2 linked regions of the Ovis aries genome follow. The main gene of each other region encodes a partner of the protein of the gene in region 2 in a complex. Links are inferred from orthologs where the notes say so. Each region holds a gene or a part of one and is shown on either strand. Other genes may lie near its edges.

Region 1 (4,432 bases), on a different chromosome or scaffold from region 2:
TATCTTTTAAATTTTTAAAACACATTATTAAAACAAACAAACAAGCAAATATTCTTAGTCCAACTTTAGAAGGTCTCAAATTCTGCTTCTACGTCTTGCTCATTCTATTTTTTCTGCCCTAAGGGTGGCTCTGAGTAATTTCTTCTCCCTGACAGCCTTCTGGCTGACTAACTGCTAACTCTAGAGCAATTAGCAAGTGATCACATGTGCCTAGCAATGACCCATAAGAAGTTAGTCCTATCCCTGCTAAGACAATATAGCAGTATAGAAGCCTTTGGAAGAAAGAACACAGAGAATAGCATCTTAGCCCTTCTTACTTGCCAATAAAAAAGGATATGGTCACCCCAAGCCCTACTCTAATCAGTCGTGGCCAGGGGTTGCAAACTTAAATGCCTATAGGAGTATGTGACGTAAAGAAGGGAAGCCAGTGGTGGGAACTGTGGTGAAATAATAAGGACATACCTGTCTAAAGGGAGCTGTTACTTGACTCAACCAAATGTTGCTACATGAGAAACACAGGCCAAGTGCACCCCTACTTTTCAGTTGTAACAGAGAAAACAAAACTCCAGAACTTTCCGGAAAATTTCCCAGTTTTACAACATCATACAGATGATACAAAGCATATCTGTTTCGGATTCAGCCCCAAATCTGCCACTTTGTAAACTTATCTGGGTAGGAAAGATAGAAATCTTAAAAAAACTCCTAACAGTCAAACTAAATATACATGTAAAGGATAAAGAATGTCTCCCAGATCCAAGAAAACAGCAACATGACTAACCAAATGATATTAATAAGAAAGATCATGCACAGAAATGGGTGGGTATGGACAAACGTAGGTTTAAGAAAGCATAAATGTGGTTTATTCAGAACCCTGCAAGGTTGGGAAGCTTGAAATGGGGATGCATACAGTGGCAAGAAAAATCATGCTTAGCAATGAAGGATTAATTCAATGGGTTCTCCTAGTGAATAGGGAAAATATCCTTCCAGAACTCTCTGATTTCTTGCCCACTAATGAACTTGATTAAAAAAATAACAACTCACCTTCCGAGGCACTGGGATACCAGAAGTGAATGGGAAATCAGGGCATAAGCATTTAACTCACTGGAAAGGGACTTGCCCCCATTTAGAGAAAGTTAACTGTAACTGATTTCTAGCTAAATTCCATGTGCCCAGTTAATTTGGGTCTGTCATGGATCACCTATAGGTATGCTGGGAAAGTCAGTTCCCAGCCCTAAAAGACTGAGATTTGGAGTGAGTGACTCAATCAAAGTGCTAATATGTTATCTAGTGATGCAGCGAGTAGCAGCCATCACAGGATATTCCCATTCCCACCTCCTCCCCCAGCAAACTTGGCTACTGTTCTCAGTTCCCCGAGGAGCAGCTTCAATAACAACAACCAACAAAAACAAAACTTATAGGCCCTTAATAGGAAAGGAACAGTACTTACATTAACAAAATCTCCACCCTGAATCATGAAATCTTTTATGACCCTGAAACAGAGAACAAAGGATGCTGGGAGAAGATTGTGTGGTTTGGAATAACATTAATTTCAAAATATAATGTTTATCACTTCAGTCCTCAAATCAATGGTTGAGTTCACAAAAGCATCCCTTCTCAAGAACTAAGAATTATGCTATGGTTTTGTTTTCCTCTGAAGAGACTAATCCCCCAAGGAAGTAATTCTAAACCATACTAATAGTAATTTTAAAAGTCCCCCAGGATGGCTTGCCAAAGGCCTTACCTGTGGAAGGTGCTCCCCTTGTATCCTATCGGAACCCCATCTTTTCTATAAGCAAAAAGAAAGAGACTTGAAATGGTAAACAGGTAAACATAGGCCTTTCACGTTTACCATACAGTCGAGCCAGAGACACCCTTCTAAAGATGGTCGGGAGAAGAGAGACGAAGAAGGCAAATGAACTGAGGACAGACCCATAGTAATACCTTCTATTACTGTCACCAGTCATACAAGGCCTGCCGGTGATTCCCCAATACCCTCAACTGCAGCCTCAGGACAGCCCTCAGGAGCAAGCAGAGAAGTCAACCACGTCAGAGACTGACCTGAATTCTCCTGTGCAGAACTGCCTGAAAAGGAAAAGAGTGAACGATTCAGTCGCCATGGCATCACAACTCTGAGCGTCCCTAACCTCAGCGGGAAGGGGAACGTCGGCGCTAGCTAGCCCACCAACTGGCTGGTCAGACGTCCAGGCATACAGATTAACATAAACTGAAAAGGGGACGGTCAAGACTATTCAGAGAGATACCCAGAGAAGTCAGATCTCAAGGACGGTGAATGAACGGATAGAGGTAGGCAGAAGATTCCACAGACAGGCCCAGCTTCTCGTTTGGTTTATCCAGCAAAGAACATCATCTTACCTAAAATTCTCCGCCGTCTTAGGCACAACGTCTGCAAAGAGCTCAATCTTCATACGACCAACCTCCTGCAACCGGCGAGAGACGTTCAGAAAGCCCAGTCCAAGCCCGTGAAGGCCTCACCGAACAGGGAACCCTCGGGCCCCCATGCCGCTTGGTCTCTCCCACCTCCGCCTCCGTAGCCTACTCTTCCGTTCCACCCGGTCCCTCCACCAGCCGGGCGCTAGGATGCGCAAGACTCCTCCTCTTCCTACTCCCTCACCCCCGCCCCGCAGGTCGGTAGGTTCTGGTTCAATTTCACTTTTTGGCTTCCCGAGTTTGCTACACCTGAGGAGGTGATCTGCCTGCCAGACCGCGTGCACGTTCCCTTTGGCATCGGGCTGGCTGGCTGCCAAGACCTCACCTGGCCGCCAATGCTGACATCAAAGAATACCACGGGATTGACAGGGCTTGAATTTGCCACCGCCATGCCTCTGACCCGGAAGCAGAAGTCGGGAGCGCGGGGTTCCGGCGATCCTATGATCTTGCTCCGCCGGGAGGTGTTTATTTCCGGCGCAGGCGCAGGAAGAGCCGGGGGGGGGGGCGGTGCGGTGGGAGGCGGTCGGCCCCGCCCCCGGAAGCTCTCTGCCTTCGATGCCAAGCTGCGCGCTGCGTGGGTGGCCGGGGCTTCCTTCCGTTTTGACGAGTCGCAAGTTGTTACCTCACCTGAGTCTCCTTGAGCGCTGAGGCCGGAGGACATCCTCGGCTTTTTTTTCGCTCGAGGCCCACGGGCCTCTCATTCACTTGGATACAGTAAGTGCAGTACGGATGATTCTCGCTCAGGCTACGGGGCTTGGACTAGGCAGTCTTCAGGGTCTGATCAGCCTTTGCAGCCAAGACCGTCTGAACCATCATATGTGCGGCCTCTTACCCCTTTTCACTAGTCTGGAGGCCCGGAAGCAAAAACCGTGTTTATCCTCAGCGCTTTGAACAGCCTGGCATATAAGGCTTGTTCAGTATATTCAGCACTTTCATGAAGTCAGGCACTAGACTTTAATTCCAGTTCTCCCACAAGCTTCCGCTTTCATCATCTCCAAGTCACTTACTGCAGAGCAGCTAGAGCTTTTAAATGAATCTGCTTATAAATCACTCCCGGATTCCCTTATTTAGAATAAAATCCAGTTGCTACATAAAAGACCTACATTACATTATCTGGCCACCTACCTGGGACTCTAGCCTGTTCCTCTAGGTCACGGAGACTCGGATTCTATTTAGGGCCTGTTAACTGACTTTAATATTCTTCTAAATCTTCATGAGGGTGCGGAGTGGTCTTGTAGGTCAAGTCTCATCTCAGGTCATTAGTCAGGAACATTGCACCCAATCTAAAGTAGCCCTCTGTCACTCTTTTGGATAGATTACTGATTTTCTTCATGCCATTCACCATCCAAAATTATATGGTTTCCCCACCTCACCAGCTGCTTCACACTTGTTTAACTCCATGAAAATGAAGCTGGGTCCTTCGTAAAAACCGGGTGCCTTTGCAAAGCTTAGGAATAACCTATCTATAACGTTCCCTTTCTTGTCCACCTGTTTCCCTCAAGGTTGTTGAGTACCAAAGAAAAAGGCATTGAGACAGCCGGCCCTTGGCAGGACACTGCTGTGTATAAAACCCTTGCTTATGTACCTGATTCCTTGTTTGTAGAAAGACTTGACCCTCCTGGATCTTGTTCCAAAGAGCAGATCCAAATAGTTCCTAATGAGGGAATGCAAAAACAAAGGAAAAGCAGTCACAGAATGATAGTTCAGGGACTTCCCTGGTGGGTCAGTGGTTAAGACTATGCTTCCAGCACACATGGGTTTGCTCTCTGGTCAGGGAACTAAGATCCTGTCTGCTGCACAGCAATAAATAAATAAAATTTAGTTCACTTTGTTGTACACCTGAAACTAACAACATTGTTAATCAACTACAATTAAATTTAAAAAAATTGTATTTCAATGATAAAACAGAGCCTTAGTCCCTCCTCATGGGATATATGTAATAATCTGATACAGATCTTTGAGTGCTGCAGGAACTAAAGCCCTC
Region 2 (2,471 bases):
GACTGGGAGAGACCGCGGTGACTGAGCCTCTAAAACACCTCCCAACTCTTACCCAGAAGCCAGCCTTGGAGAGGGTAAGGTGCGACATTTAACAGGCACAGCCAGGACTGGTACGACCATGCCAGGAGCGGCTGGGGGAGGCGAGGGTGAGAAAGCGAACCAGCTGGCTTCTCTTTGGCTGGCTGGGGCCCAGCGTGGGCTGAGAACTGCCTTAGCAGAGCCGGGCCAGTTCCCTCCCTGCATCTCTGTCGTTTGTGTCACCTACAACCGGTCTCACCTGGCAGAAGCCAGACCCTAAGCCACCTCTGAGGGGCCTTGCTCACCTCCACGTTCCAGGTGAGTGAATGAAATGAGCTCACTTAATCATCGCAAGACACCCTATGAAGCAAGGTGTTTTGGTCAAACAAACGGCAGAACTAAGGCCGTTTAGAAAGGTTCAGTGACTGCCTGAGGTCACACAGGTGACGACGGAGCCAGAGGGCAATGTCCCCCATGCTCTGTCTGGCACCGCCTGCCCTTTTCCCAGGTCTGACCCTGGAACCTGCACCAGGACCAGGGGGAAAAAAATAAGGAGGGAGCTTTATTTAATATTAAAGTCGGGGGAGGGATCAGAAGGGAGGCCAGCTTCACTTGGTGATGGTGTTCCTGCGGAAAGAAGAGGAGCGTGAGGCTGCAGAGCGGCTGTGACCCCGCCCCCGCTCCCCAATGCACGCAGGCAGCACACCGCCCCACTCACGCGTTCATGCTCTTGCCACTGCCGCTGAGCACGATGTATGGGGTCTTCTGGGCCTTCTGCTTCTCCTGCAGCAGAGCCACGGTGCCCAGGGGCGTGTCACTGGAGCTCATCTTCTTCAGGAGCTGTGGGTCGGGCCAGTCAGCAAGGCAGGAGCACCCCAGCGCCTCAGTCCCCGCCAACCCCACACCCCCAGAGGCCACTGCCACCTCCCCGTGGGCACCCACCGCCTCCTCGTCCAGCTTCTTCATCCGCCGCTCCGTCTTCATTTTGCCGGAGCCCTTCCCGTGGAAGCGGTGGGACAGCTGCCGGAAAGCCTGTGACCGGGCAGAACCCTGTTAGAGCCGCCGGAGCCCTTGGGGCAAGGGAGGGCGCTGGCTCCCCAGCCCCGGCTGAGCCGAGGTGGGGGCGGTGAGCCTGGGAAGGGGCTGGGAGATGGCCCTGGCCCTGGCACCCTCTGGGAGCCCCCGAAGAGAGGGAAGGATGTGCTGGAGCAAGGGGGCAGCAGACTCCAAGAAAGTGAGGAGAGAAAGGCGGACAGCTGCCACCAGCCGAGAGCTCAGGGGGCCGCTGGGGAGAGGGCAGGCAGGCAAGGACGCCCTCCTGCCAGGCCTGCAAGGGGGGACCGCTGTGCCCCCAAGCGATGGACACCACAGTCCCCTGGCCCAGACTCCAGGGCGCGGCCCCGCTCACCTCCTTGGGTGTGAGCTTCCGGCCCGTCTCGTCCACGTACTCGATCTTCACATCGGGTTTATAGCCATCCTTCTCCTTGAAGTCCTGGGTGAAGCCGCGGTACTCCTCCCGCCGGCTGTACTTATCGTCGATGGCCCTGTGGGAGACGCACGGGGCCTCAGCACTGCCCGGCACCGGGCTCCCAGGGCGCGGCCCCCGCGCCCGCACTCACATCTTATCCTCGATGCAGTACACGGCCGACGGCAGGGACTTGTTGGGCGCCTTCACCCGGGCCACCTTCTGCACCGTCGTCTCCAGCAGCCCTGGGGGGTGGAATCTGTGAGAGCCCAGACTGCCCAGCACTCCCAACAGCATGGTGGCCCCTGAGGGACCCTCCAAGCTGTGCTGTGGGAAGGGAGAGACATCAGTCCCCTCGTGCAGACAAAGGAAACGGAGACCCAAGAGAAGTCAGGCACATGTCCAGGGCCACCGGCTCAGTACACAGCAGAGACGATCCTAACGCCAAGGTCTCTGCCACCGCCTGGATTGCGGCCACTCCTCCCGCTCCCTGCAGAGGAGAGGCCGAGCCTCCAGGGGCAGTGGTGCCTGCTGGGGCACGTGTGGGCACAGGCACTGAGCATGGGGGAAGCAGCGCACAAAGGCCAGCGGCTACCGCAACTGCCGGGCCCGGGGGCGGCGGGGAGGAAGGGAGCAGGGGGCCGGAGGGCAGCAGCTGCCTGGCCCGCCTTCCGTGGCGGCACCCAGGCCATCGCAGGGCAGCCTGAGATGTTCTTACCTTTGTTCTGACACAGGAGCAGGGCGGCCGCCAGCCCTCTATTCACGATGGGCTCCTCGTCCAGGATGGTGGTGGAGGAGGCAGAGAACTGGGGGGGCGGAGCACACAATGATGGGGGTGCTGAGTGGGCTACCCTCCTGCCCGACAGCCACCCCTCCCAGGACTGTGGTCCTTGCTGTGTACCAGGCCCTGCGCGACAAGACGCCTCATTTAACCCACAACACCCCACCAGGTCTGTATACCCCATTTACGCAGGAGGAGCCCAGGGCT

What was found. The genes of interacting proteins can lie anywhere in the genome.
Region 1: SART1 (region 2) and PPIH share a complex: the UniProt entries of both Homo sapiens proteins name them as parts of the U4/U6-U5 tri-snRNP complex. The link is inferred for Ovis aries from reciprocal best matches to the Homo sapiens genes SART1 and PPIH.

Annotation. Positions count from the first base shown.
Region 1 is NC_056054.1:17,161,095-17,165,526, reverse strand, and holds the start of PPIH (peptidyl-prolyl cis-trans isomerase H), read right to left. Parts: upstream 2,864-4,432; 5' UTR 2,840-2,863; coding exon 2,774-2,839; exon of another isoform or gene 2,439-2,773; coding exon 2,374-2,438; intron 2,083-2,373; coding exon 2,059-2,082; exon of another isoform or gene 1,965-2,058; coding exon of another isoform or gene 1,942-1,964; intron 1,787-1,941; coding exon 1,742-1,786; intron 1,491-1,741; coding exon 1,448-1,490; intron 1-1,447. UniProt on the Homo sapiens protein: PPIase that catalyzes the cis-trans isomerization of proline imidic peptide bonds in oligopeptides and may therefore assist protein folding. Participates in pre-mRNA splicing.
Region 2 is NC_056074.1:40,509,046-40,511,516, reverse strand, and holds the end of SART1 (U4/U6.U5 tri-snRNP-associated protein 1), read right to left. Parts: intron 2,290-2,471; coding exon 2,202-2,289; intron 1,729-2,201; coding exon 1,638-1,728; intron 1,563-1,637; coding exon 1,427-1,562; intron 1,051-1,426; coding exon 961-1,050; intron 859-960; coding exon 737-858; intron 646-736; coding exon 627-645; 3' UTR 562-626; downstream 1-561. UniProt on the Homo sapiens protein: Plays a role in mRNA splicing as a component of the U4/U6-U5 tri-snRNP, one of the building blocks of the spliceosome. May also bind to DNA.